4 linked regions of the Macaca mulatta genome follow. The protein of the gene in region 4 interacts with the protein of the main gene of each other region in a biochemical or structural test. Links are inferred from orthologs where the notes say so. Each region holds a gene or a part of one and is shown on either strand. Other genes may lie near its edges. The genes, in order: UNC119, PDE6D, TBCD and ARL2.

The links.
Region 1: the proteins of ARL2 (region 4) and UNC119 form a complex in vitro, tested with the Homo sapiens proteins (2 studies listed by BioGRID and IntAct, with this or other methods). The link is inferred for Macaca mulatta from reciprocal best matches to the Homo sapiens genes ARL2 and UNC119.
Region 2: the proteins of ARL2 (region 4) and PDE6D are reported together in a solved structure, tested with the Homo sapiens proteins (2 studies listed by BioGRID and IntAct, with this or other methods). The link is inferred for Macaca mulatta from reciprocal best matches to the Homo sapiens genes ARL2 and PDE6D.
Region 3: the proteins of ARL2 (region 4) and TBCD form a complex in vitro, tested with the Homo sapiens proteins (2 studies listed by BioGRID and IntAct). The link is inferred for Macaca mulatta from reciprocal best matches to the Homo sapiens genes ARL2 and TBCD.

The regions. Positions count from the first base shown.
Region 1 is NC_133421.1:37,248,149-37,256,169, reverse strand, and holds the start of UNC119 (protein unc-119 homolog A), read left to right. Parts: upstream 1-3,389; 5' UTR 3,390-3,463; coding exon 3,464-3,683; exon of another isoform or gene 3,684-3,730; intron 3,731-7,300; coding exon 7,301-7,414; intron 7,415-7,903; coding exon 7,904-8,006; intron 8,007-8,021. Other genes in the region: GPI-anchor transamidase component PIGS, read left to right, coding at 638-848, 1,226-1,501. UniProt on the Homo sapiens protein: Involved in synaptic functions in photoreceptor cells, the signal transduction in immune cells as a Src family kinase activator, endosome recycling, the uptake of bacteria and endocytosis, protein trafficking in sensory neurons and as lipid-binding chaperone with specificity for a diverse subset of myristoylated proteins.
Region 2 is NC_133417.1:137,044,228-137,052,090, reverse strand, and holds the start of PDE6D (retinal rod rhodopsin-sensitive cGMP 3',5'-cyclic phosphodiesterase subunit delta), read left to right. Parts: upstream 1-3,449; 5' UTR 3,450-3,644; coding exon 3,645-3,694; intron 3,695-7,863. UniProt on the Homo sapiens protein: Promotes the release of prenylated target proteins from cellular membranes. Modulates the activity of prenylated or palmitoylated Ras family members by regulating their subcellular location.
Region 3 is NC_133421.1:92,636,674-92,643,967, forward strand, and holds part of TBCD (tubulin-specific chaperone D), read left to right. Parts: intron 1-841; coding exon 842-923; intron 924-2,235; coding exon 2,236-2,354; intron 2,355-3,191; coding exon 3,192-3,283; intron 3,284-3,977; coding exon 3,978-4,115; coding exon of another isoform or gene 4,116-4,214; intron 4,215-4,793; coding exon 4,794-4,877; intron 4,878-5,898; coding exon 5,899-6,057; intron 6,058-6,147; coding exon 6,148-6,286; intron 6,287-7,259; coding exon 7,260-7,294.
Region 4 is NC_133419.1:9,361,733-9,367,761, reverse strand, and holds the end of ARL2 (ADP-ribosylation factor-like protein 2), read left to right. Parts: intron 1-1,559; coding exon of another isoform or gene 1,560-1,572; coding exon 1,573-1,687; intron 1,688-1,908; coding exon of another isoform or gene 1,909-1,998; exon of another isoform or gene 1,999-1,999; intron 2,000-2,585; coding exon 2,586-2,720; 3' UTR 2,721-3,050; downstream 3,051-6,029. UniProt on the Homo sapiens protein: Small GTP-binding protein which cycles between an inactive GDP-bound and an active GTP-bound form, and the rate of cycling is regulated by guanine nucleotide exchange factors (GEF) and GTPase-activating proteins (GAP).

The sequences.
Region 1 (8,021 bases), on a different chromosome or scaffold from region 4:
CCACTGTGCCTGGCCAACAAAACCAGTTTTAAGAAAAATAGACTCATGAATGTCAGGTCCATGGAGTGTGATTAGGGCTGCTTGAGAAAATAACTGTTAATTCTTGTGCTGCCTGATGGATTGAGAGTGACTGAGGCTCTATGTTGAGGATTCTAAGGCTGTATCTGGGCTCATTAGGAAAGAGTGTTCTTCTGATTGACTAGCGGTGTCTGTCACGGATGCAGGCTTAGAGAAGCACAGCACATGTGCCTTGGCAAAGGCAGTCCTGGATCATCCCTTAATGCTAAGTCCCATTGGCCCCATTTGTTCAAAGAGAGGGTAGAGAAGGTGAAAGGATTAAACTAAGTTAGTGTTATCAGAAGTATTTTAGCCATGGAACCTTTTTTTAAAAAACAAGATCTTGGAAGTCTAATGTAGAAACAGGTAAAAGCAGAAACACCGGTTGAAGCAGGGTTTGGGGCCAATTTGCTTGGTGTTGCCACTTATGCCCCAAGACCCTGAGGTACTTCCCTTTAACCCCTATGGTTCTGGGTAAGATTGAAAATCACTGGTTTAGGACAGGTATTTGAGAAATCTTAGCCATCATCTCCCACCCTGTGGTCTCAGCCACCTTGATCTTACTCCGATGTTCCTACAGGTTGCTCTTTGGGATTGCTCAGCCCCAGGTGCCTCCAAAATGCCTGCTTTCAGGGCCTAAGAGTGAAGGGCTAATGACCTGGGAGCTAGACCGGCTGCTCTGGGCTCGGTCAGTGGAGAATCTGGCCACAGCCACCACCACCCTCACCTCCCTGGCACAGCTTCTGGGCAAGATCAGCAACATTGTCATTAAGGACGATGTGGCATCTGAGGTAAGTGGGCAGGGGATGGATTCTGCAGCTTGGGACTGGAGTAGTCAGAGAGGGCCAGAGTGTGGTGAGACCAGAGAGCCTGTGAAGTCACGGTGTGGACTTCACAGGCTCTCTGGTCTCACCACACTCTTCATCTTTAGTGTCCCAGCCTTCCTCTAGACAGCAGTACCAGCCCCCCAGCAGGAGTGCAGATGACAGTGCGAGGTTTCAAGCTGACCCTAGGAAAATAAACCATATCCCTTTAGACAGACTTCCATAGATCCTGGATGAACTCCAGGCATCTTCCTCGATAGATGGAAAGCACAGTAAGGCCCAGCACCCTTTCCACCAATGCCTGGGACTTACTGGTATACCCTCTTGTCCCTTCTGCTTCCTAGGTATACAGGGCTGTAGCTGCAGTCCAGAAGTCAGCAGAAGAGTTGGCCTCTGGGCACCTGGCATCTGCCTTTGTCGCCAGCCAGGAAGCTGTGACGTCCTCTGAGCGTGCCTTTTTTGACCCGTCACTCCTCCACCTCCTTTATTTCCCTGATGACCAGAAATTTGCCATCTACATCCCACTCTTCCTGCCTATGGCTGTGCCCATCCTCCTGTCCCTGGTCAAGATCTTCCTGGAGACCCACAAGTCCTGGAAAAAGCCTGAGAAGACAGACTGAGCAGGGCAGCTCCTCCACAGGAAGCCTTCCTTTTTGGCCAAGGTGGGCGGTGTTAGATTGAGAGGCACGTACATGGGGCCTGCCGGAATGACTTAAATATTTGTCTCCAGTCTCCACTATTGGCTTTCCAGCAACCAAAGTACAACACTCCAAGATGGATTCATCTTTTCTTCCTTTCCCGTTCCCCTGGCTCAGTCCTCCTCCACCACCAGGGGCCCCAAAAGGCACATCATCTGGGTCTCCTTATCTTGTTTGATAAGGCTGCTCCCTGTCTCCCTCTGTGGCATGGACTGTTTGTTCTTTTGCCCTATTTCTCAACATAGCACACTCATGCACTGAGAGGAGGGAGCATTATGGGAAAGTCCCTCCCTTCCACTCTTCTCTCTAACGCCTGTGGGAGAGCCCTAGTCCCTGCCGTCATGAAGGGGTCAGGCATTGGTCACCTCTGGGACCTTCTCCCTCACTCCCCTCCCTCCTAGCTAGCTTTGTCTGTCAGGTACAGTCTGGTGGAAGTCCAGGAGGCAGCAGCTCAGGACGTGGTGTTGGGGGTGTGTGTGTGTGTGTGAGTCAGAGGTTCCAGAAGGTTCCAGATTTGGAATCAAAGAGTCCTGAATTCAAATCCTTGTTTTTGCACTTATTGTCTGGAGAGCTTTGGATAAGCTGTTGAATATCTCTGAGCCTCAGTTTTTCATTCATTCAAATGGCACTGATGATGTCTCCCTTACAAGGTGGTTGTGAGGATTAAATGTGATCAGCATGTAACATGTCTAGTGTATATTAGGCTCTTAATAAACACTGGCTGAATATGAATTGGAATGATACAAAGTCTGAGCTCTACTCTTTCTGCATTCACTGGTAAGTAACAGTTTCCTGGTGTTTGTCCTCCTGTGCCCACAGGTCCACTTTGCTTCCACGTGGCCATGTGCCTTTCCTAGCTAGATTGCCCAAGGCTGTTAGCATCTGCTTTTTACCTGAGATACTAATTCATCAGGTAAAAAAAAAAAAAAAATATATATATATATATATATATATATATATATTTTTGAGACGGAGTCTCGCTCTGTCGTCCACGCTGGAGTGCAGTGGCCGGATCTCAGCTCACTGCAAGCTCCGCCTCCCAGGTTTACGCCATTCTCCTGCCTCAGCCTCCCGAGTAGCTGGGACTACAGGCGCCCGCCACCTTCGCCCGGCTAGTTTTTTGTATTTTTAGTAGAGACGGGGTTTCACCGTGTTAGCCAGGATGGTCTCGATCTCCTGACCTCGTGATCCGCCCGTCTCGGCCTCCCAAAGTGCTGGGATTACAGGCTTGAGCCACCGCGCCCGGCCCTATATATATATCTTGAGCACCAGCTGCAGGGAGCCTTCTGCCAGGTGCCGGGGTCCTACTGAGAACAAAGTAGGCAGGATCAGTGCTTTCACAGAGCTGAGCTTTCATGAGGAAGAGCAGACAAATAAAAATAATTTCACATAATGCATTGGAAAGACAAAAACAGGCTGGTCAGATGGTGACTGAGGGGGAAGGACTTCAGACTGGGTGTGAGGGAGGCAACTTTGAGCAGATGACATTTGAGCTGTGACTAGGAGAAAAAAGGCCATCTGGGGAAGAGCATCCAAGCAGAGACCCTGAGCCTGGAACTCATGAGCAGAAAGGCTGGAACACAGTGAGTAAGCGGAGAGGTAGTCAGGACCCCACTAGTACCAGTGCAAGAAAGTGTTAGAAAAACAGAATGAAGCCCAGGGCAGGATCCCCCGACTCCCATCCCCCACGTCCGTGGCCTTTCGGCAGGGGTGGGCCGCGGGGCGGGCGGGATCAGCGCAGGGCCCACCCCAGGGGCGGGGCCGGGGCGGGGCGGTACCTGGAGCCCCGGCCGGGGGCGGGGCTGCGGACGCTCCCCCTTCCTCCGGCTCCAGCCGGCGCAGGCAGCGGCGGCAGCAGCAGGCGAGCCGCGGCCCGGCGAGGCCATGAAGGTGAAGAAGGGCGGCGGTGGGGCCGGGACGGGGGCGGAGCCCGCTCCCGGGCCCTCGGGCCCGAGCGTGGCCCCCATACCAGAGCCGCCGGTGGAATCTGAATCTGGGTCCGAGTCGGAGCCGGACGCAGGCCCAGGGCCCAGGCCGGGGCCGCTGCAGAGGAAGCAGCCGATCGGGCCGGAGGACGTGCTGGGGCTGCAGCGGATCACGGGTGGTGAGCACCCGCGAGGGAGCGCCTCCCGCTGGCGGGAAGGGCAGAGGGTGCGAGGGGCCCTCCCGGCGCACCGAGCCCCAGCCCCCGCCCCCTTTCCCGCCTCCCCTCCCCCACCGAGTCTCCCTCTCCTGTGTCCCCTACTCTCCCTTCTGCCACCAAGCCTGAGATCTCTGTGTACCCCCTTCCCTTGATCTCTCTCTCTGTGCGCTTTTCTTCTCCCTTTCAAGATTTATTCCTTCCTTTTCCGGGGGTCCGTCCCCTTTTCCCAGCGTGGAGGTGCGTGCGGCAGCAGCTGCAACTGTAGCCCTGCCTCTGTGGAGTCTTCAGAGCGCTTTGAGGCCCGCCCCTGCACTAATGAGGAGAGGGGCTGAGTGCAGCTTGTCCTCAGCCCCCACCCTGGAGGCTAGGTGGAGGCTGAGTTACTTCGGAGGCATTCAGACTCTTCATGTCTCCCCAACCATTAATACCCTCACCCTGATCCTCCAGGAATACTTGGGCCATTTTCTTCCCCAGGAAAGAAACTGAGCAGGCAGCTTCAGAGTGTTGACTGTGGTTCCTTCTCATGGGGAGTGGCTTAACGTCCCCCCAAGCCTGGACTAGCGCCTGTCCTATTCTAGGGGCTCTGTCATCAAGGGAGGCTTGGTCTCCACTGTGGTTAAGAGTTTCTGAGCTGGACTGCCTGGGCTGGAGTTTCAACTTTGCATATAATTGGCTGTGTGAACTTGGGCAAGTAACCTGACCTCTCAGCATGTCTTTTCATCTGTAAAATGGGGATAATGGTATCTATCTCGTAAGGTTATTGTGAAGATAAGTCCTCTGATTCTGTACAGTGCCTGGCATCTATGCATTCTGTGTACATTGGGCTCTTTGATCAGTAGTATTTTGGGCCCTACAGGGCTGCTCATGGCTGCTGCCTGGGGTCAAACAACTTGGCTTTCAGGGCAGGGGAGGGGGTCATCATAGGCAGGGAATGAGGGCTAGGAAACCTCATAGCAGAGGCCTTGGCTGAGCCTCAAAGGATGAAGAGACAGTGGCTCTCCACCTTGGCCACATTCACCAGCAACCTGCCCTGGCCCCCTTTGTGAGAATAATTGTTGGGGGGCCTCTCTGTGGGTATGGGGTGCATATATTGGAGTGGACCTGAGCCCTAGAGCTTCCAAAGCAGCTGAACACAGGGCTCCCAGACAGAGCTGTGGAGGGGAGGCAGCCTTGAGCCTGTGCTCCTGGGTCCCTGGGGGCCAACTCCTCTATCCTTACTGAGTTAGGCAGCAGCCATTCTTGGCTGGGCCCCCAGAGTACTGAGCTCCCTTGCCCAAGCAGGCGTCGATGGAGGGAGGGAGGCTGGACCAGGCTGATGTTGAAGCCAGTTGGGCTACAATTTGCAACAGCAGCATTTAGGATTCAGCTTAGCTCTGGGGCAGAACTGTCTCAGAGGAAGTCCAGAGGTCAGATTGAGCCCTGAGTAACTTGGGGGGTTGATTTTGCAAGTAGAGGGAGCTTCCAGCTCATGTACCACCATTTGTCTCCTAATTTGGAGGCAATTCATAGCCCTTAGAGATGGGGAATCTGTGGAGGGTGAGTAGAGGAAAGGGCTTCATGGGAACCCCTTCCTGTGCAGGAGTTGAGAACAGGGTTCCAGGGATTTCCACCCTGGCACCTCTTGCTGGTCTCTTCTGACCCTAATCACGCAGGTCCGAGGTTTGCTGTTCCCAGATTACTGGGCCCTGAATCCAGCTTAGGAAGCTATTTGTGGCTGAGAGGAATAGAGCAGTTGTGTTCTGAGCCCTTGGCCACTCTGCTCCTTATTCTGACCTGAACCTGGGTCCCAGGCCTCATCCTTTCTAGAAGGGAAGGAGTGGCCATGGTGTTCTGAGCCATAGACATCCCTGTTCCTCACTTCTTCTAAGGACAGAGAGGTTGATAGATTGAGTTTGCAGTAGAAGAGACTGAGGTCAGACTGCAGAAAGTTGTTCCCAAATGAGAGAGGCTCCAAAAGTTAGAGAATGGGAGAAGAGAAGGCCTTACAGGGATCTGGGAGTTGGGCACTGGGATCCTGCTCCCCACTCTGCCACTCTATTCCCTATGCTCTGTACCTTCTTTCTATGTCTTTATACTGGTGCTTACTTTCTGTGAAAATAGGGTGAATGGCATGAGATAGAGGTTGCCCACTTCCAATCTCTCCCCACCCCACACGTGGGCTGTAGTAGACTCTTCCCCAAGCTGTATAAAGTCCATGCCGGGCCCCAGGTACCAGACGGCTGCCAGGAGGGCTTCCTGGAGGGGACTGTGTCAGGCTTGGGGAAGAAGCAGGCCTGGGGAAGAGAAAATGACTTTATATTCACTTCCTCTTCCTGCCCCAGAGGAATAGGTGGCCCAGGGGCCTGGAGGGTGATTTCCAGGCCTCTGTGGGCCACCAGGGGAGGATGTGATGCTGTGTAGGCTGACAGCATCAGAGTCCCTCCCTGCACCTCTCAGCTATCTTTGTTGCCAGGGTCTCCCTGAACACCTGAAGTTGCTGCTGCAAGAGCTGTGAGGGTTAGATCAGGCCCTGTAGGTCCCTGAGCTTCCTCAGGCAGGGCCTCCCACTGTTCTTGGTTCCCCTTGTGGGCCCGAGGACTCCCTTTAGCCCTTCCACACCCGCTGCTGCACCTGCCACACTCGCTTCCTGGCCTAGCCTGTGTTCTTCTCTATAGGGGTCCGGGACTACTTTCTCCATGGTGGTGGCTCAGAGCCAGGGCTGCCTAAATGACCTCTAAGGGGGTTCCCTCTGCTTGCTAAGACTTCCTCCCATTTGGAGATCAACAAAGGATAAGAGCAAAGTTGGCCTCCACCCCCTGCCATATCCCAGGCTCTGGGCTTGAGTCAGCAGAGCTTTGGTTAAGCTGCTTAAGGGAGCTGGGCTGGTGTAAGCTTCTTACTGAGAGGAGGGGGTTGGGAGGGGAGGAGGAACAGGGAAGGGGTTGTTCACCTGCCCCAGCACCACCCATATCAGGGAAAGTCCCCTCAACATCAGCCTCACCTGATACATCTAGATGTCATGCCAGGGGCAGCTGTGGGGCGAGGGTAGGAGTATCCTCCAGAGAAGGACTGTGACTCTCCCAAGACAGAGCTGTGTGGCCCCCTTTACAGTGTGGTTCTCAAAGGCAGGGTAGCAGAGAAGTTGATAGATTGAGTTTGCAGTAGAAGAGACAGGTCAGACTGCAGGAAGTTGTTCCCATATGAGAGGAGGGGCTCCCACCATGCTGGAGACCCAATTCTCCCAAAGTCACCTAGCCAGCCTTGGCAGAGCAGAGGCCAGAAGGAGGACCCTCAACTCCAGGGTGGGAGGGAGAGCATCCGGGAGGTGGCCTTGTCCTCTACCCTTCTCTGCCCTTCCCTTCCCTGGCCCCCAGAGGCCACCAGGATGGCACGCCTTATCCCCTGTTAGATCCCCATGGTGGAGTTATGTCTCTTCCACACTGGGGGTGTACTCCAAGGGCAGGGGTTCAGGTCCCTCTTTCCAGAGGGTAGTGATCCCAGGGATGAGAAGATGGTAGCTACTCTGGGGTCCCACACAAGCTGACCTGGCAGCAGGGGCTTTGGGGCCCCTTCCTTGCTCAGCTGCCTGTCTCCCGTAGACTACCTGTGCTCCCCCGAGGAGAATATCTACAAGATCGACTTCGTCAGGTTTAAGATTCGGGACATGGACTCAGGCACTGTCCTCTTTGAAATCAAGAAGCCCCCAGCCTCAGGTGAGTGGGCTGGGTGGGCCATTGATGGCGAGGCAGATATGAGCTGCGGAGTGGGCTGCCCAGGGACTCCTTGGGCCACAGAGGAGTCCACAGAGGTGGGGCTTGGACCCCAGCATTCTCAGGAGTCTGCAGGCAAGGAGGCCCTTTCTTTTCCTTCCCATATGTTTCTGAGGCTGGACATCTTGTGAGGTCAGCCCTGCCCCTTCGGTCCCTGCCAGCCTGCCCTCTGCAGGGCTCTCTGGGAACTGCAGTCCTATGGGTCCCAGGCCTCAGCATCCTGTGGCCCCGGAACCACAGTGGCAATTGGGAACCTGCAGATCTAGAACCGCTAGGTGGCACTATCTGGCCAATGGTCTGAACCCTCAATGTGCCCCAGAATTTCTTGGGGAGTTTTTACAAAATCAGATAGATAGAGGCCCAGGGGTGGAACCCTGGGTGGACAAGGGCCCAGCCTGAAGCCCACTGAGCCCCAGTTGGGGTACATTGCAGAGCGGTTGCCCATCAACCGGCGGGACCTGGACCCCAATGCTGGGCGCTTTGTCCGCTACCAGTTCACACCTGCCTTCCTCCGCCTGAGGCAGGTGGGAGCCACGTGAGTCGTTGGGCT
Region 2 (7,863 bases), on a different chromosome or scaffold from region 4:
GACATTTAGACTGTAGAATTTATAAGACTTGGTGACCAGCTGAATATAAGGAGAGGGAGGGAGCATAACACCCAGGATTCTGTCCTGGGAGACCAGAGCTGTCTGGAACTGGTGTTAAGTGAACAGGGCTATGGACGAGGAGGGACAAATATGGGATTGAGAGGAAGACAACAGAGTTTAGTTTGACTTCATAGAAATTCCAGCAATGCCTCTACTTCCTCCAGAATAATGTCCAGACTCCATGGCTGCAATTTGGACTTAGTATTTTGGGTTTTTTCCCTTAAGAGACGCAGTCTTACTCTGTCACCCAGGCTGGAGTGCAGTGGCACTATCATAGCTCACCTCAGCCTTGAACTTCTGGGCTCAAGGGATCCTACCACCTCCACCTTCCAAGTAGCTAGGACTACAGGTGCAGGCCACCACACCTGGCAAATTTATTCTTTTTTTTTTTTTTTAGAGATGGGGTCTCTCTATGTTGCTGAAGCTGCTCTTCCCTGATCTCAAGTGATCCTCCCACCTTGGCTCCCAGAATGCTGGGATTACAGGTGTGAGCCACCACACCCAGCCCATGGCTGCAGTGAAAGCCCTTCCAAGTGTGCCTCCCTCCTAAGTCCTCTAGCTTTGTCGCACCCCACCCCCTTCACAGTCCAAACTCCCATGCCCGGCACAACTTATACCATCCCTCTCAGACACCAGGCCTATGCTCAAGCTTGCTCTTTTTTGGAATGCTCTTTTATTAGCCTGTAAAAAACCTACCAACTCTAAAAGCAAGGATTTCTGAAATCCAATGCAAAAAACACTAACCATAATAGAAAACATGGAACTATTGCACTATGTTAAAATTAAGAATTTCTGCTTGGCAGATGCAGTGGAGTACACCTAAAGTCTTACTATAGCTACTTGGGAGGCGGAGACAGGAGGATCACTTGATCCCAGGAGTTCGAGGTTGTAGTGGGCAATGCTGGTGCCTGTGAATAGCCACTGCATTCCAGCCTGGGCAACATAGCAGAGACCCCATCCCTCAAAAATATAATTTGTTTCAAAAGTCACCAGTAAGAGAGTGAAAAGACAAGCCACGCCTTGGAAAAGATATCTGCAAAGCATGTATCAAGGAACTCTATATCCAGACGGTAAAGAACTACAAATCAATAAGAAGACAGCCCAATTTTTTAAAGTTGGGAAAAGAATAGGCACTTCAGGAAAGACAACGTTCAACTAGCCAACAAGCATATTGAAAGGCGCTCAACATAAGGAAAAATGTAAATAAATACCTTAATGAGATACCACATTCAGCCAGAATGGCTACAATTAAGAAGAATGACAACAAAAATCCTGTGTTGACAAGGATAAGAGGCACCTAGAACTCTTTCATATTGCTGGCAAAGGCGTAAATTGGTACAATCATTTTGAAAAATTGGCAATGTCTACTATCACTGATCATGTGCATAACCTCCCTACACACCGGCAATTCCTCTCCTAGAAATGGGTGCAAGTGTCTACAAAAAGAAACATGTAAGAATGCTCGCTACAGCTTTGCTAGTAATAGTCCAAAAAATAGCAACGCAAATGCCCACCAACAGTGGAAAGGTAAATTGTGGTATATATATACAACAGAATACTATTCAGCAGTTAAAAGGCTACACACAACATGGATGAATTTCACAAAAATATTGATAAAGTAAAAAAGCCAGACACATACTGTACATACTGTATTATTACATTTAACTGGAATTCAAGAACAGACAAAACTGATCTATGGTGATACAGTCAGAAGAGTGATTATCTCAATATGTAAGGAGGTAATACTGATTGGGAAGGAGCACTAGGCGTGCTAGAAATGTTCCATATCTTGATTTGGGTAGTGGGGACAAGGGTGTATACCTATGCAAAAATTGTTCCCATACTGTATGTCACATCTCATTTAAAAAAAAAAAAAAACTTTTTTAACATGGAAAAAAACTTCAAGTCCAAATGCCACCTTCTCCATTAAAGTTTTGCCAGCTGCAATTAACCTTTTCATCAGGGCCTCCTTAGCATTCTGATGTCGTTTCTTTTATGCCATTTTATCACACTCCATCTTGAATCTCAGTGGAGTCTCCTTATTTCCCTAAATAGATGTTTATCTTCCTGGTGGCAGTGACCATGTCCTTCACCTTTTACCCACTCAGTGCCTGACAAATAACAGGCTGAAAAGATATTTATTGAATTACATGGAAGAAAAAATTGGGTGAGTTCCCAGATGGGTGAAAGAGGGGACAGGCAGAGGAAGGAAGGCCAAGAGAAGGACAGAGGAGGTTTCCAAGGAAACCGTGGCTCACACTGCAATTTTACCTACTTCCTGAAATCACATTAAATGTCACCTTGAGTGGCAAAAAACAAAACACCAAGTCCTACCTAGGCTGAAAATAAATATCACACTCCCTCACTTGAAAGAAATCCACCAAATAAATGCTACCTAATTCTGGGTGTTTCAACACTGGATAGGAAAACTGTTCAAGGAGAATAATTCACATTGCTATGCTGCTAAAAATATCACCTCCTTAGTGTGGTGCAAAGAGTCCAGACTGCAAGTCAGCCGACTTAGGGCTGAATTCTAACTCTGCCCGAACTTGCTGTGATCTGTGGCCAATCCCTTCGCCTCTCTGGGCCTCAATTTCCTCATACGTAACAACGGGGTAGATTAGCAAAGTCCCTTTATGTTTTGATATTCTGAGTATACAATCCATAGCTCTCCCGGTCCAAAGCAGGAATACAGCAAAAACCCCTGAAAAACACGTAAAAGGCGCCTCAGACCAACAAGCACGATTTGAAGAAGTCATTTTGTTATCTTTCACGGTTTAATCAGTGTTTTTGTTTGTTGTTAGCAGCCTTACCATGATTTGCAGAAGATGTCTGAGTTCCATGTAAACAGAAGTTAACTCTCTGCGGGCTGTCATCTTCTTTTGACGGTGAGAAGGGTCTTCCCGCTGGGTTTCAAGTCTCGGGATTCCGAAACCACCAACTCAGCGGGCGGGTTTGTGAATTTGCGCACACTGCGCGGCACACTGGAGTCTAAGTTACAGAGGAACCGAGTGCAGAGGATGCTGGGATTTGTAGTCTCCGGACCTCTTTGTGGTGCGCTGGGATCTGTAGTCCCCCGAGTGCGCCGCTGGAATGCTGGGAAATGTAGTCTCTGTCGCGTAGCACAGTGCAACCAGCTGCCGTCTCGAATGGCTAGTGTGCTCAGCTGCGGGAGCAGGTCCCTAAAGCCTCTGCAGATCCGAAGCCAACACTCCGCTGGGACAAACTCTAGGCAATAACACCAGATGAATATTGTGTCCTATGGGACTTCCCGGGGAGGGCCCTTCCCATTGACGTTAACAGTCCCCCTGCGAAGGCGCAGCGCGCTCCTACTGGCTGGTTGGGATGCCAATCACCAAAGCTGGCTTTCCATTGGTTCCAGGGGGGCACTGCGAGGCTAGGGGGAAGGAGAAGGGATCAGGAGCGGGAGCTGAGGGGAGAGAGAGGCCGGTCCTGGTCTGGCCGCTGCGGCTGCTCGCCCGAGGTCTCCAAGCCGGGCTGCGGCTCCATCCTCGGCTCCTGGGCACCGTCTGCGAGGCTCCGCCGACCAGAGTGAGAAAGCCGCGGGCGGCTAGCGCCGCATCATGTCAGCCAAGGACGAGCGGGCCAGGGAGATCCTGAGGGGCTTCAAACTGTATCCGCCCGGGAGCGGGGCGGGGCCGGGAGGACTTGGGAGGCGGCCGCTCACTGAGGAGACTGGCCGGGGGCGGGGGCCGCGCCAGGTGGGCCCCGCGGAAGAAGGGCTGCGGGAGGGGAGAGGAAAGGAAAAGCGTGCCGTGCACCCGGCGGGACCAGGCGCGAGAAGCGCCCCCAGGGGCGTCCTGAGGGAGGAAGGGGACGTTGACGGGAGCCACAGGGGGTGGCGGGTGGGGACGGAAGAGCTTGGGGTACTGGGCTGCGAGAGGTGCCGGGCGTCGCAAACGCTATCGGAGAGACCGGCTGGGTTCCAATCCCCGGCCGGGACCCAGAGGCCGGGAGGGGGCTGCGGCCCGCAGGGAAGGGCTGAGGGGGCGCGGTGGGCTGATCTTAAAGTCTAGAAGCCTCTTTGGCTATAAGCCTACCCGAGGAGCGGGGAACAGTGACTTGGAGCGGGCGACCTTGTGTGGGACAAATACCAGTGCTTTTAAAACTCTCTCAGGGCCCCCACCGCACCGCACCCCACCCCCGTCTGGTTTCCACAACTTCTCTTCCAAACTTGTGGCTTCTTCCAGGGCTAGAGTAGTTGGGGGAGGTGGGGAAAGAGAAGTCCAAGATCAACCTCGTCTTAACACTCTTGGTCTTCTGAGGCATTGGTCACTGCTTCCCCCTCAGCGCCTCAGTTTCCTTTCCAGCAACACGAGGACCATAGGCTTAGGTGTGGGGTGCCTCGCGCTGGGGCTCCTAGCCGAGGTGTCTTTGCTCGCTCCTGTTGGTGCGGTTAATGCCTAGCTGTGGTGGAGCTGTCCAGCAATAGTGTGATGTCGCTGGGGCCACGGTAGGATAGTGGGGTAGAGAAATCATTGCCTCGGGCCTGTTGTGATGCCGCTCTTGCAGCCTCTCCTTAATGTGGTAAGGAAGCTTTGTGTTTTCGTGGAGTGTGTTAGTCTGTCACCATATGATGCAGATGAAAAAATGCAAACTTGTATATTCAAATTTTCCATTCTCCTGCCGGCTTTAATCTCTGCATACATCCTGTCTGTAATCTATAGTACGGAACGTTCTTAAACTGCTCCCTCAGTGAAAAGGTAGTCACCGCTTTAGGACTCCTCCCTTGGAGGTTTAGTAAAGCACTGTTTTCTTGATATTCTGTTGTGTTTTCACAATGTCCATGTCACCCTTGCAAAATTTAATTGCTTTGCTATAATCAGAAACCAAGTTGGTAATACATTTTAGACCACAGTGCAAAAAGGAAGTTTTGGATGTACAAGTGAGATTTTTCAAGTGAAAATTGATCTAGGCTTTTAAAAAAACCTAAAGGCTGTATCACCTTTGCATACTACCATTCAGGATAAAGTTTCAGTACTTTCATGTAGTGATTTAGTAGCAGCCTCTTTAGAGCTCCATGTGCCTTTCTGTGTTTCTCTCCATAATGGATCATATAGGTATATAGGGATGACTGAAGTGCTGGAAAAGCTATGACATGAATTTTATTTTTCCCTCAAGTAATTTGTATTATTACTTAACATATAACAATGTAATAATATTGTTACTTAACATGCTGTGTAAGCAGTAAACCAGAAACTATGGAGAACTGAGAGATTTCAGAAGCAACGTTTTCATCTGATTGGAAATACCATATTGCTGAAAAGAAGAAATACCTTTTTAATGGCTTTTGAACAAAGCAGAAAAGTTTGAGCTTCTCACCTTCAGTCTTGGCTCTTGAACCTGTTAAGAAAGAGGATAAGAGACAAATACGGAAAAGAGTTTCAGAAAGCAGAATCTGTGTCAGCCCACTAGAAGGAAAAGCGAATCAACCAATTCAGTGATGTTAGTGCATCCAGAAACAGGCTTTCGGGGAAAGCTTGACCTGAGCTGATTAAATCCTGAAGCACCAGGGAAGCAGCCACATCAAAAAGTTAGCATGAGAGCAGTGGCGTGCTCATCCTCTGGTAGCCTTTATTGGGCATTTGTGGAGTAAGAGGGAAAAGAAAAGCAGGAATGTTAAGATATGCTACTACCTTCAGGAAAAAGTAAAATTAATGTTTTAGTAAGAAACTGACTATTGTCTACCTTTTATTGGGTAAATAGATTTTCCGAACTTTCTTTCAGAGTATCTGTTTCTGTAAGAATAGTTTATCACTACAAAAAGAGCACCATTATGTTCTCCCACCAACAGTGTTGATAGTACTCAGTTTTCCACATTGACTAGGTCGGTCTTTTTTGTTTGCCAGTTTAGATAACAAATGATATATTGTTTTAATTGGTATTCTCCTGGGATCCCTACATCCATGAAAAGGTAATGTAGCATAGTGGTTAAGAGCTATACTGGACTATGTCGCTATACTGCCTGCATTGGAATTCCAGCCCTGCACTCCTAGTTGTGTGTCCCTGAGCAACTGCTTTAACCTTGCCTCAATTTTCTTATCTGTAAAATGCAGAAAATAATAGTATACTACCTATCGCATGGGGCTTTGAGAGTAAATGAGTTGATATCTAAAGCATTTAGAAAAGCACCTGATCTACAGTAAGCATTATGCTTTAGCTAGTGTTATTCTTGTTGTTATTAGATAAGTTGCACATCTCTATTTGGCCATTTCTTTTTCTTCTGTAAATTGTTAATTTTGTTTTTGCCCATTTTACTATTAAATTGTTTATTTTTCTTATTTGTAGATGTTCTTTACATATTGTAATATCAATCCTTTGCCTATTATATATTTTGCAAATATTTTCTTTCAATGTATTGTCTCCTTTTTTGTTGAACAGAATTCTAAAATTGTCATTTCAAATTTATTTTATTTGTTTGAGATGAAGTCTCGGTCTGTTGCCCACATTGGAGTGCAGTGGCACAATCTTGGCTCACTGCAACCTCCGCTTCCCAGGTTCAAGCAATTCTCCTGCCTCAGCCTCCTGAGTAGCTGGGATTACAGGCACATGCCACCATGCCCGGCTAATTTTTGTATTTTTAGTAGAGACGGGTTTCACCATGTTGGCAAAGCTGTCCTCAAACTCGTGACCTCGTGATCCGCCTGACCTCTGCTTCCCAAAGTGCTGGGACTATAGGCGTGAGCCACCGTGCCTGGCCTCAAGTTTATTAATATTTGCCGTCTGGCTTTTGCATTTTGTATCTTGTTTAAAAAGATCTTTCTTATCCCAAGATTAACTAAATATCCTATCTTTTCTTCTCTTTTTAATGTTTAGCTCTTTAATCCACCTGGAACGTATTTATACATTTGGTATAGGGTAGATATCTAAGTACTTCTGCTGTTTGAATAGCCAGTAGTTCCAGTACTAAGTACTAAGTCCGTCTTTTCCTCACTGTTTTGAAATGCCATCCTTGTCATATACTAAATTTTCATAAGACGTAGGTTTATTTTTTGATTATTTCTCTTTCATTGATCTATTTGTCTCTTCTTGTGCCTATACACATTTGGTTGAATTATTATAGCTTTATGATGTGATTTAGTACAGTTTACAATAGGATTGGTCTGTGACTAACATAATATGTGTGTTTAAGGTCCCTATAAATATTTATGCCCCTTTTATTCACATAGAAGCTTGCCATATGCCCATAGTAGATAGAAACATGAGGACTTGGCTGGGCATGGTGCTCACACCTGTAATCCCAGCACTTTGGGAGGCCTAGGTGGGAGGATGGCTCAAGGCTAGGAGTTCAAGACCAACCTGGCCAACATAGTGAGACCCCCAACTCTAAAAAAAAAAAAATTTAAAGATACTCCGTAAGAGTGATGCATAAATCAGGCATGGTCTGAGTGAATTCAGTATAAGCCTTTGTATTTGCCATCAGTTGTTTCAAAAACAAAATCTTACAAGATTTTATTCTCATATCACCTTCACCCCATCTCACCCTACCTCTTTCAGAGTATCTGTTTTTGTGAGAAGAGTTTATCACTACAAAAAGAGCACCATTATGATCTCCCACCAACAGTGTTGATAGTACTCAGTTTTCCACGTTGACTAGGTCAATCTTTTTTATTTTTGCCAGTTTGGACAACACATGATACCTTGTTTGAATTTGTATTTTCCTGGATCCCTAGATCCATAAAAGGTAATATAGCATAGTGGTTTAAGAGCTATACTGGACTGTGGCGCTATACTACCTCTCAAGAAATGCAAGGCTCTCATACACATTAAGAACCTTACATT
Region 3 (7,294 bases), on a different chromosome or scaffold from region 4:
CCCTGTGCCCAGTGCCTCTCCAAGGCTGCTCTGTTGGCCTCGGCTCCCGGGCTTTGGGGGAGCAGTGGAAAGAACATGTGGGTTCAGTGTTTGCTACTTGCTGGCTGTGTGGTCACGAAAGGCTCCTCCGTAAGTGGCAGAGGTGGGGGTTCGAGGAGACTGGCACTGAGCCCTACATGCGGTGGGACTGGTGACTCTCTGCACGCTCCTGCTCTGTAGCAATTGCCATCCCTCCCACCATGGCTCCTGGTGGCCTTGGGATGGGTTCCCGAGGGTCTCCTGCTGTCCGGCCCCAACTCCTGTTCCCAGTGCCCCCACTGGAGCCCTGTGTCTCTAATTGAGGCTGATGTGGGTTAGCCTGGAGGCCCTGCCCCATTACTCTGGGTGCACAATGTATGCCTTTTCCTTCATACCTGTTTCCGGGAAAGAAAAAAATGCTCCATTTTATTACTGCTCCATATTAGAAGACAGGCAGTGTGGAAAGAACAATCAGGTTGTCCGCTCAGTTTCTTAGTTGTAGTGAAGCGATGCATGTGTCTGACAGACGCTGGCGGGCAGCCGTGCTGGAAAGGAGCAGCATGACTTAGGGGTTCTCTCGGTTTGGTTCTAAAGTCATCGCTGTGCCTGAACCTCAGGGTGACCCGCTGTGTCCCTGGCCGGGGGCTTCTCCGACCTGGGAGTGACCCGCTGTGTCCCTGGTCTCGGGCTACTCTGACCTCAGGGTGACCCACCGTGTCCCTGGTCAGGTGCTTCTCTGACCTCAGGGTGACCCGCTGTGTCCCTGGCCGGGGGCTTCTCCGAGCAGAGCTGCTGTGTGCTCACCGTGCTGCCTTTGTTTTAGGATGCAGCAGTCTCAGCCCTGGCTGCTCTCTGCAGTGAATATTACATGAAGGAACCGGGGGAGGCAGATCCCGCAATTCAGGGTGAGTGGGGGCCCTTTCCTTGAAGGCTCCAGGGGCTTCCAGCAGGAAGCTGCTCGGGGAGTGTCTGGGCACGGAGGAGGCCTCAGCTGTGCAGGGGAGCAGAGCTACCACCATCACGGCTGGAGCGGGACTGTTCGGGTCTCAGGTTCCCGGCTGAGGACCTCTGGGCAGGTCCCACAGCGGCCCAGGGTGTTGCATCACCCTGAGTAAGCGGCTCTGCAGGGGGCCCTCTGTTGACGGCACCCTGGCAGCTGGTCCTGGAGCACAGTGTTCCTCACACTTTCAGTTGTGTTTTCTTACATTACATTTATTTATTTTATTCTTTCAGACAGTCTGGCTCCATCACCCAGGCTGGAGTGGCGTGGCTCACTGCAGTCCCCGCCTCCCAGGTTCAAGCAATTCTCCTGCCTCAGTCTCCCGAGTAGCTGGGATTACAGGTGCCCACCATCACGCCCGGCTAATTTTTTGTATTTTTAGTAGAGACAGGGGTTTCTCCATGTTGGTCAGGCTGGAATCGAACTCCTGACCTCAGGTGATCCACCCGCCTCAGCCTCCCAAAGATCTGGGATTACAGGCGTGAGCCTCTGTGCCCGGCCAGTGTTTTTAGAATTTTTGTGCACACTGTGACATTTTTCTGGTGTGTGTTCTTCACTTGTTAATATATTTTGCTGTTTTTTCCTTCTTTGTGAAAGTAGCATAAGGCTGGCTTTACTGTGTCCCATGCATGGCTGCCCTGCCGCCTCACTGTGCGTCCTGCGCCCCCTGTCCCGTGCGTGGCCGCCTCACTGTGCGTCCCGTGCCCCCTGTCCCGTGCGTGGCCGCCTCACTGTACGTCCTGCGCCCCCTGTCCTGTGCGTGGCCGTCCTGCCGCGTCACTCCTGCCGCGTCACTGTACGTCCTGCGCCCCCATGCTGAAGTTCAGGCTCATTTATCGCACATCATGTATCTGTTCGTATATAAAAATCATGTATATAAAAATCATGCATTAGCTTGGCATGGTGGCACACGCCTGTAACCCCAGCTACTTGGGAGGCTGAGTGTGAGTTTGAGGCTGCAGTGAGCTAAGATTGCACCACTGCACTCCAGCCTGGGTGACAGAATGAGACTCTGTCTCAAAAAAAAAAAAAAATTCTCTTTTTGATCCCTATTTTGAGGTGGGGCCACTTTGGAAATGTGTCTGCTTTGGGAACCTTTGTTGACCGTGGCTTCGCTCCTGTTTTGGGGCACACGTCGGGTGTGAGTGTACACGTCGGGTGTGAGTGTACACGATGGGCAGCAGAGGCCTCTCTTCACACTCGTCACTTCCTTTCAGAGAAGCTGATCACGCAGTACCTGGCCGAGCTTCGGAGCCCCGAGGAAATGACTCGCTGTGGCTTCTCGTCGGCCTTGGGCGCCCTTCCAGGCTTCCTTCTGAAAGGCCGGCTCCAGCAGGTGAGACTGGCTACGCACCGCGGACGGGGCCTGGGGCGAGGGTGTGGGAGCAGCGGACGGGGCCTGGGGCGAGGGTGTGGGAGCCTTGTGTGTTGGGGCATGAGGTAGGCCCAGCCATTAGTAAACCCACTCAGTGCTTGTAGCTGGGAGGGGATTTCTGGAAGTCGGCACCTGTGGCCAGGAGAAAGGGGGCAGAGGGCACCCAAGGTCTGTGGCCCCTCAGGGCCCTGGCAAACCCTTTCCTGTCAGAGGACAGACTTTGAAAAGCTGAATTCTGGGAGGGAGGAGAAGGTGTTGTTTGTAGAAGCAGCTGCTGAGAGTGAGGAGAACACAGTTGCGTTTGTGCGTTTGTGGAGCCGGGTCCTGTTTTGGCTGCGGCCGCGCATCCAGGCGGGGGCACCAGCGGCTCCACGTCCTCCCACAGGTCAGCCCCACGCTGGCCTCGGCGACCTGCTCTCTCACAGTTGAAACACAGATAACTGTGAAACAGGATCACTTGGAGACATGACAGATGAGGCTGTTGAGACCCAGCTGCTTCCTTTGTCCCATACCCCAGGTCTCAGCATAGGACAAAAGGGGGACCTCAGGTAGGGTGCGGCCAGACCGCCAGTGACGCCCTGGGGTGGGGGCTGACTGTGGAGAGGCTGGAGGTGACCCCTCTCTGGGTGTCCTTCCTGGGCTCCACCGGGGGCCATGGGTGGCCCCTCGAGGAAGGTGGTGCCAGGAGTGGCCTGTCACATGGTGCGGGGTCTGTGGCTCCGGGCCGACATCACCACCTCCCTAGAGTGCACTTCGTTACAGCCTGTGGTTCTTCCATGATTCTTTATTGCTTTCCAGGTTCTCGCAGGTTTAAGAGCAGTTACCCACACTTCTCCTGAGGACGTAAATTTCCCTGAGTCAAGGAGAGATGGCTTGAAGGCCATTGCTAGGTGAGTCCCAGCAGTTCCTCCCTAAAGTCGTAAGTCTCTGAAAGGCCAAGAAATGAACGCTAAGGAGGATGTTTTTGCTCAGAGGCAGGATTTATGATTCTTCACTTCCTAGGTTTCCTCTCTTCCAGAGGATCGCCAGTCCCAGGTCCTGGAGGCTCGTTCAGTCTCTTGCTGTCATAGTCATAGTGAATGTTAAACATCTTTAGCAACACTGGGCCCCTTTGAGAATTGGGGAATGTGTCCTGGCCCAAGGTTGGCAAAGAGGAGGTGACCCTGCCAGCCAGTGTTTGGAATGATCTCCACCCTCGTTGACAGACACGCACCTGGGGCCATGCCATATGCCCTCTCCTCCCTGCAGGCACACAAGAGGAGCAGCCCCGTGGGGGTCATGCACGCCCCCTTCTTTCCTATGCCAGCATCCGTCCCCTCTAGTCAGGGTGGGAAGTGGGAGGGACCCGCCGTAGGGGGTGTCCCCGTCCACCTTTCAACAAGAGAGACGGCAGAGCGTGACCTTGGGGAAGCATGTCCCACGTTCCGTACGTGTGGAAGGAGCTCTGGATTTCTGATGTACCCGAGGGTCCTAGACTGTTGTGAGTGTGTCTTCTCGGGATCGGGAACACACATCAGACCTCTGTGGCGTGGAAGGCGAGGCTCACAGATGTTTGTCTGTTAGCTCAGACGTTTTAAATTTTAGGATTTGCCAGACTGTTGGTGTGAAACCAGGAGCCCCAGTCGAAGCTGTGTGCAGAGAGAACGTTTCCCAGATTTATTCTGCACTGCTGGGCTGCATGAACGACTACACCACGGACAGCAGGGGGGACGTGGGCGGCTGGTACGTGCGCAGCAGGGGGGACGCGGGCGGCTGGTACGTGCGCAGCAGGGGGGACGCGGGCGGCTGGTACGTGCGCAGCAGGGGGGACGTGGGTGCCTGGTATGTGCGCAGCAGGGGGGAGCACTTCCTCGAAGAAGCCCGTCTGTTCCATGGAAACTCGGAGGCCCCGGGCTTTTCTGCAGGGAGAAATCTTTGTAGAGTGCCGTATTTTGCGTTTTAAAGGCTCTTGGGAAGACGACCTGTTCTCTGCTCCCGGGTGAGCTTGCGTGGCGGGGCTTAGGTGCTTGTCCAGCCTGTCCTTAGGTGTTGGGCCTGCGTCATCCTCATTGACTGGGTGTGAGGAAGGACGCGTCTTCAGTGAAAGGCTGTCGGCTGCTTACATTGGGTTTTGCCAACATTCCTCGCTGAAATGGGATTGATAATCCCCGAAACTCCTGTGTGTGCAGGATGCCTCGGGGCCCCTATATGCGGCTGTGGGTCTCCCTTCCCTGCACACGTTCCTGTAGCACGCAGGGAACCTCTGCAGACCCTGTGACTTTTCTCCCTGGCAGCGTGCCTGGGCTCTGTGTGGGGTTAGTCACTGGTGTTGAATTCGCACAGCCTGCCAGCGTGGTTGTAGAACCGGGGTTGGGAACTCCCTCTCAAGCTGGGTGTCTCTGCCTCTCCTTGTCCCATCAGGGTCCGCAAGGCCGCCATGACCGGTCTGATGGATGTGACACTTCTGCTGGCTCGGAGCCAGCCTGAGCTGATCGAGGCCCACATGTGAGTGTCACGTCCCAGCTCTTCTGCATCCTAGAGGGCAGCCCCAAGCTTGGGGAGGCTGGTGGGGCGGGCAGTCCTGGTGCTCAGTGGCATTTGCATTGCTGGGCACACATCTTCCTCCCAGAGAGCCTCTCTGGTCCGTGACCTCAGGTTTGTGCAGGCCCCTCCTCCTGCCCCTGTAGCCATGGCTTGAGCTGGGGCCCCTCCTCCTCTGCCCAGTGCCCCCAGGACAAGGCTCTGCTACCCAGCCTGGGCCTCCCCCAGTGCTCTGACCAGTTTGATGACAACCAGCTTCCCAGGTTAGGGCCGGGCTGGAGGTGAGGACTGCTCAGCTTAGGACCCTGAACCTGGGGGTCTGCTCCTGCCAGGACCAGCTGAGCCATCACTCAGTTCCCTGCACCTGAGGCTGCCATTGGGGCCTGCCCTTGCTGTGGGTCTGTCGGGGGTACTAGGTTGTGGGGACCCCCAGGCCCTGCACTTGCTGTCGGTCTGTCAGGGGCACTGAGTCATGGGGGTCCCAGGCCCTGCCCTTGTGGGTCTCTGTCGGGGGCACTCGGTTGTGGGGATCCCGGAGCCTGATTTCCTTAGTTCTCACCTCTTTCTCCTTCCCTCCCCCCATCTCTTCGCCAGCCCCAGCTTCTCTGTCTCCATCCCCGGCCTCTCTGTCCCCCACACTCTTCTCCACCTGCTTCTGTAATCATATTTGTTGTCCCCGCTTCAACCCTAAGAACTCATTGGCATGTGTGTCACATGTACGTAGCATGTATTTGCTGTGCACCTGTAGGGTCGGGCTCCTGGGATGTGAAGGTAATGGGGTGTGGTCCTTCCAAGCCAGTGTCCTGGTGTCAGCTGCCAAGTCCCGAGGAGCCCGTATATCCTCGTGGTGCTTGAGCTGGACTCATGGCTCAGACTGCCTGCGCTCGGTTTACTGCCCGCGCTCGGTTTGCCACCCGCCCTTGGTTTACTGCCCGCGCTCGGTTTACCGCCCGCCCTCGGTTTACCTCCTGCTCTTGGTTTGCAGCTGTGAGCGCATCATGTGCTGTGTGGCCCAGCAGGCCAGTGAGAAGATCGACCGTTTCCGTGCTCACGCCATCAGCGTGTTCCTGACGCTCCTGCACTTTGACAGCCCTCCCATCCCCCACGTGCCGCACCGGGGAGAACTGGAAAAGCTGTTTCCCAGGTACCGTCGGGGTGCAGGCCGCCCACACTGGCCCTGCAGCCGTGGCAAGATCATGGGCCGCCCGGCCTCGTCCCACTCACTCTCTTGCAGGTCCGACGTGGCCTCCGTGAATTGGAATGCACCTTCCCAGGCCTTCTCACGCATCACCCAGCTCCTCGGGCTGCCCACCTACCGCTACCCCGTCCTGCTGGGGCTTGTCGTGTCCCTGGGCGGCTTGACGGAGTCGACGGTGAGGAGGCGTCACGCTGGCGGGGGTGGGAGGTGGTGGCTCCAGGGGCACTTGGCGCTTCCTTGCTTCTTGGGAGTGTATGTGGAGCTGGGCCTTTTCTTCCAGTGCTTTCTCTCTCTGGCGTATTTGGTCTGGGGGTCAGGGGCCCAGCGGCTTCCTCATGACCCAGGAGGCTTAGGGCCTGTGGGATGGTCGAATCTGATAAAGGTGGAACAGCACGTTGAGTGGGGGTCAGCAGCAGACTTTGAAGTGGGCCAGCTCCGCTCTCCTCCCGCGGCCGCATCCCTGGAGCCCCAAGTGTCCCCTCGGGGTTCAGCCCTCCAGGACCTGTGTCTGATGCCTGCGTGTGGATACCTGGGCTCCGCCCTCCACTTCCAGGGCTCCAGGCGCAGCTTCCCATTCTGTGGGGAGGGTCTCCAGAGCCTGTCGTGGCTGAGCTGGGGAACTGGAAGGCCTCTCTGCATCTTGTCACTCGTGGCCCCTGCACCTTGGGTCATGACCTGCTTCGTGTGGCAACCCTGTGACAGCTGCTGCGTCCTAGAAAACACATAGCAGGACATGAGGTGCCCTCTGCACCATGCGGACACGTGCGGGGAGACCCAGGCCACGCGAGCCGGGCCCCGAGACACGCTGCACGCAGGGGAGTTGCGGGGATTATCAGATCCCGCTTCAGTGGGAGACGTGAGCGAAACCCAACGTGAGCGGCTGCAGGCTTTCGTCACGTGCGCCCCTTCACGTCCTAAGTGAGGCCTCAGCTGTGCCGCCGCTGCCGAGAGCTGTGTGTCTGCTTTGGGTGTCTGCGCCGTGCGTGCCTCCGTGCTGGCGTCCACACCAGCCGCTGTGGGCCAGACCCTCACGTCTCCGCAGCTCAGAGCAGTTCTCCGCTTTAGCAGATGCTTGGCCGGCTGCAGCCAAGCCTGAGGGGTGGCGGGCTGGGGGTCCCGCTCCCTTCTGAGGCGTCTCCGTGTTGCAGGTCCGGCACTCCACCCAGAGCCTCTTCGAGTACAT
Region 4 (6,029 bases):
GTGGCCCCAGAGGGAAACTAGAGGCAGGCTCCATTCCTTCACTGGGCCCCCACCATGGGAGGCCCATGGTGCCAGAGGCAGGACACATGCTGTGGACTGAGATTGAGTTAACGTCCCTGGGGTGTTACTACATCAATACCCTGAGCATCAGTTTCTGTGCCTTGAAATGGTGATGATGACACCCACATCATTGGGCTTTAGGGAGGATGACCCAAGGCCAGCATGAAGCTTTGAGAGGCCGTGGAGCCTGGCTCAAGAGTCTGACTCTTCGCTGTGTGACCTCAGCCAGGGGTGGTGGCACGCACCTGTAGTCCTAGCTACTCTGGAGGCTCAGACAGGAGGATCAGTTGAACCTAGGAGGTCGAGGCTGCAGTGAGCTGTGATCATACTACTGCACTCCAGCCTCCTGGGTGACAGAGCAAGACCCTGTCTCAAAAAAAAAAAAAAAAAAAATAAGGGGCAGGGCGCGGTGACTCACACCTGTAATCCCAGCACTTTGGGAGGCCGAGATGGGCAGATCACGAGGTCAGGAGATCGAGACCATCCTGGCTAACACGGTGAAACCCCGTCTCTACAAAAATACAAAAAATTAGCCGGGCATGGTGGCGGGCGCCTGTAGTCCCAGCTACTCAGGAGGCTGAGGCAGGAGAATGGTGTGAACCTGGAAGGCAGAGCTTGCAGTGAGCTGAGATTGTGCCACTGCACTCCAGAGTGGGCAACAGAGCAAGACTCCATCTCAAAAAAAAAAAGAAGGAAACTTGCAAAGATAGTACAGAGGTCCCCCATATACCCTTTACCTTGCTTCTCCATCTTACCTAACCGTGGCCTGTCCAAACTAATAAATCAACATTGGTGAATTACTATTATCTTAATTACAGATTTTATTTGAATTTCACCAGTTTTTCCACTAATATACTTTCTGTTTCCAGTGTTTGATTGAAGCTACAACATTGCATTTAGTTGAAAATGAGGACACTTGTGAGAGTGAAAGGGGGGATTCTGCAGGCAGACTCGGGATTGTCCTGGGCACACTGCACACACCTCCTGTGTGAGTGAAGCAGGTCAAATGAGATCAGGGCCATCAGATGCTGGTCAAGGCAGGTCAAGGCCCAAGGGTTAGACCCGTCCACCCACATCTCCCAATAACAGATGCATATGTGGAAACAACTAGAATCAGAGGTGGACGGCGTGGCCTGTCGGGAGTGGAACGGTTAAAGGGCTGTGTGAACCCAGAAGCGGGAGAGATCACATTCTCTGTGCACGTCTGGTCATCAGATTGGAGCAGTCTAGAACCACAGAGAGCTCAGGGATCATCTTATCCAGCACCCCTCCCTGTTTATGGAAGAGGAAGCTGAAGCATGGGGGACAGCGGTGTCCCCTGTGGTGGTTGACTGGAACCAGAACCCTGGCCCAGAACTGCCATCGCCCATGTGGTCCAGCCTTGATGGCTATGTCCACAAACTCACTCCTGGGCCTCTCCCACCACCACAGGGCCTCACCTTGATCTTCCAGGTCGATCCTTCACCCCAGATGCTCTGGGCCGTTAGAGGAGGGGTCAGGCTGTCCTCTGAGTCCCCACCCCACCCCTCTGTCTTCTCTTCCCCAGCGCCTGGCCGGAGCCACCCTCCTCATCTTTGCCAACAAGCAGGACCTGCCTGGAGCACTGTCCTCTAACGCCATCCGCGAGGTGAGTCCAGGCCCTGGGACAGGCCCACTGAGAGAAAGGGGCTCACTTTTTTTATTTTAAAAGCATTTATTAAAAATAACCAAAAAAAGTAATAATAAAAGCATTTATTAGCCCCTGCTAGGTGGCAGGACCTATGCAGGGCACTGGGGATCCAGTGATTAATAAGGCATGGGGTGGCCCACAGCCTGGGGAAGACAGAACTGCACATGTGTTGTTCACAGGCTAACAGTAGCCAGCACAAACAGAGTGCTTTCAGTATGCTCTGCTCCTTGCATGGATTAACTCATTTCATTCTCACAACAACCTCATGAGGTAAGAACTATTATTTTACACATGGTGAAGCAGGCTCAGAGAGATTAGGTAACTTGTCCCAGGTCACACAGCCACTAAATAGACCAGAAGCCTGTCTGACCCCAGAGCCCACATTTTAACCATGATTCTAGTGCTCAAGCACCACAGTGAGAAAGAGCAGCGTTAAAATCTTGGCTGTGCCACTTATGAGCTATGTGCCCTTAGGCAGGTTGCTTAACCTCTCTGAACTTTGGTTTCCTCCTTGGTGAAATGGCTGACACAATCCCTGGCTCATGAGGACTTGAGGAGAATGAGAGAGGATGTGTGGGGCTCCTGGCATGATGCCCAGATCCTGGTGGATGCTCAAGAGCCCGTGTTGCATTTACATCACTAAGGGGCGGCACTGGTGTGGTACTGGACAGAGAGCCCAGGTGCCCCTGGGGGCTGACAAAGTCTCTCAGGGACCAGCGGGGCTTCCTGGATGGGATGACCTGGAACAGGGCCTTGAGGGAGGCATGGAGCTCCTCTGGGCTGGGGAGGGAAGGGGCTGAGGGAAGGCAGGGTCTGCAGTCACTGACCACCACCATCAGCACCTTTGTTCTTCCAGGCCCTGGAGCTGGACTCCATCCGCAGCCACCACTGGTGCATCCAGGGCTGCAGCGCCGTCACCGGGGAGAACCTGCTGCCAGGCATCGACTGGCTCCTGGATGACATTTCCAGCCGCATCTTCACAGCTGACTGAGCCACTCCAGATGTCCCTCCACCTAGCAGTCCAGGTCCCCCAACCCTCACCAAACACTATCCATGGGGGCATGGGAGTCAGCCAGCCAAACTAACACTCCCCCTCCTCCACCCCAACCTGCTGCTGCTACTGCTGCCCGCTGCTGCTCTGTGGCCACCCAGCTCCTGTGGCGGGAGGGCTGTGCCCTGGCTGTTTCCCTGGCTCCTGGCCTGGCCTTTGGCTACCATACCAAGAAAAGAGGACTGGGCGGGGAGGAGCTGCTACTGCTGCTACCGAGGCTGTGGGCCTCATCCTTCACTCAGCTGTGAAATAAACCACTCCTTGCCCTGATTCCTGGCTGAGTCATTTGTTGATTCAACAGCGTTAGAGACCACCTGGGACCCACAATCCAGCAGGGGACAGAAAGGAACAGACCATTGCAGTCAATGGTGAGCTGCGGCTATGTCAAAGGGATGCAAAAAAAGTTATAGAAGCATGGGACACGGTGCAACTGATTCCATCCAGAGGAGTCCAGGCAGGCTTCCTAGAGGAGGTCATGTTAAAACTGGGAATAAAATGTGAGTAGTTTTCCAGGTAGAGAAAGGGGAAGACGGTTCACCAGGGGAACTCCAACTCTCATAGGTATGAATTAGAAAAAGGGACACAGCTCCAGACCAGGGCTCCAACTTTTTGAATGGAACATGGGCTGAAATTCAGCTCCCAATTCTCTGTTGTAGCCAGGACCCCATGTGCAGTGGACAACCTGAATAGCTGTATGAGGCCAGCAGAGGTTCAGGCAGAGGGGATCACAGGACAGGCATGAAGAGCAAAGGCTCTTGGGAAATGGGGAGGGGCATAGAGTCATGTGTGGGAGGGAGTGCAGCCAGAGGGCGGGAGGGGGCCACATCAGGTAGGGGTAGCTGAGTCCTTTCCTGAAGGCGACAGGAACTCGGAACCAGTGCCAGGCTGGGAAAGGATAGGAAATGAGGCCACCCCAGGGGTCCAGTCCAAGTGGCAAGACTGGTGGATGTTTTCACGGCCCAGGGTCCTAACAGCTGCTTACTCTGCAGGGTTCTGTTCTAAGTACTACCCATTCAGCAATGCAGTTAGGGACAGCCCTATGCAGTGCTGCCTATCAAGACCCCCCTTTATATGGGACACTAAGGGGTGGCACTGGCGTGGGACTGTACAGAGAGCTCAGGTGCCCCGGGGAACAGATAAGCTCTCCCAGGGGCCAGGGGAGGCTTCCTGGATGGGCTGACCCTTGAGCAGGGAGGGAAGGGGCTGAGGGGAGGCACTGGCCACCACCAGTACCTTTGTCCTCCCAGGCCCTGGAGCTGAACTCTACAGCCACCACTGGTACATCGAGGGCTGCAGCCCCGTTGCTGGGAAGAACATGCTGCCTGGTATCGACTGGCTCCTGGATGACATTTCCTCCAGGAGGTTAAGTGACTTCCTCAAAGCCACGCAGCTAGGAAGTGAGGGAGCTGGACTCGAACCCAGCACACTTGGTCACTATACCTACCCTGCTGCCTCCCGAAATAGCTCAGGCCTAATTGTCTTCAATTTTTGTCTCTCTGCTCAAAATTCAAATGCCAAGGAGAGGCAGCCTGCCTGGCGCAGCTTGAGGCTCACGATTATCTTTTGATGTGGATTTGTGGCCCAACAACCCTCCCAGCAGAGTATATCCAATGGAAGAAGGGCAGTTTTCCCAAAGGAAAGTTGAATGCTATTATCAAAAGGTGAGGAAGAGACACTGGGATTTACTCTGAAGCTGGCACTAGGATCCTTTTGTGGAGGGGTAGAGACCTGTGCAAAATCTGGGTTTCCTTTTTTTTTGAGACAGAGCCTCCCTCTGTCACCCAGGCTGGAGTGCAGTGGCATGATCACAGCTCACTGCAGCCTTGACCTCCTAGGCTCAAGCCATCCTCCCATCTCCTTGCTGGGACTACAGGCTTGTGCCACCACGCCCAGCTAATTTTTTATTTTGTAGAGATGGGGTATTGCCGTGTTGCCCAGGCTGGTCTCAAACTCCTGGGCTCAGGTGATCCTCCCACCTTGGCCTCCCAAAGTGCTAGGAAAGTGCTGGGATTACAGGCGTGAGCCACCATGCCCAGCCTAGGTTTCCTTAAAAGTGGAAGAAAGGGCTGGGTGCGGTGGCTCACGCCTGTAATCCCAGTACTTTGGGAGGTCAAGGTGGGCAGATCACCTGAGGTCGGAAGTTTGTAGACCAACCTGACCAATACGGAGAAACCCTGTCTCTACTAAAAGTACAAAATTAGCCAGGCATGGTGGCTCATGTTTGTAATCCCAGCTATTCGGGAGGCTGAGACAGGAGAATCGCTTAAACCTGCGAGACAGAGGTTGCAGTGAGCTGAGATTGCGTCATTGCACTCCAGCCTGGGCAACAAGAGTGAAACTCCGTCTCAAAAAAAAAAAAAAGGTGTGGAAGAAGGGAAGTGAATGTTGCGTGGACAAGCTTAGAACATGAAGAAACTGCCCTTCAGGGTACAAAATTAGAAGCCCCTGCCCTGTCCTCCTTGCAAGACAGACCTGGTGGTCTGCAGGCTCTTAAACCTGGACTCTGGAGCCAAATCCTGGCCTGCCACTCGCTGGTGGATGCTGAGCAACTTGCCTAGCCTCTCCGTGCCTCAGTTTCCCTTCTAGTGTTGGGAGGAGGACCGAATGAGTTGGTGTCTTGTATGTCATAAGTATTGTGTAAGTGTCAGCTATAATTATGATTATTTGAACCAGTAGGACTGTACGCAAATTCAACTAATGTGAAGTCAGCCACCCACTGACATATGTGTCACCCCAGTGTTCACGTCCTCCCAGGTGCCCTTAGGAAACAATGCTTTTCTTGAAAAGGTGAATTAGGCCGGGCGCAGTGGCTCACTTCTGTAATCCCAGCACTTTGAGAGGCCGAGGTGGGTGGATCACTTGAGGTCAGGAGTTCGAGACCAGCTTGGCCAACGTGATGAAACCCCATCTCTACCAAAAAAATACAAAAATTAGCCGGGCATGGTGGTGTGTGCTTGTAATCCCAGCCGCTCAGGAGGCTGAGGCAGGAGAATCACTTGAACCCAGAGGGCAGAGGTTGCAGTGAGCCGAGATTGCGCCATTGCACTCCAGCCTGGGCAACAGAGTAAGACTCCGTCTCAAAAAAATAAATAAAAGGTGAACTATTCACAGAGACAAATATGAAAATAACAAGGTGATATTCATCACAAAGGTCTCCACCACATGGTCAAGCATACCCTACCCTGGGTGAGCTTGGGGAGCAGACCCTGGAGGAGCATGGTGGGCAGCCCAGCGCGGTGCCCCTGCAGC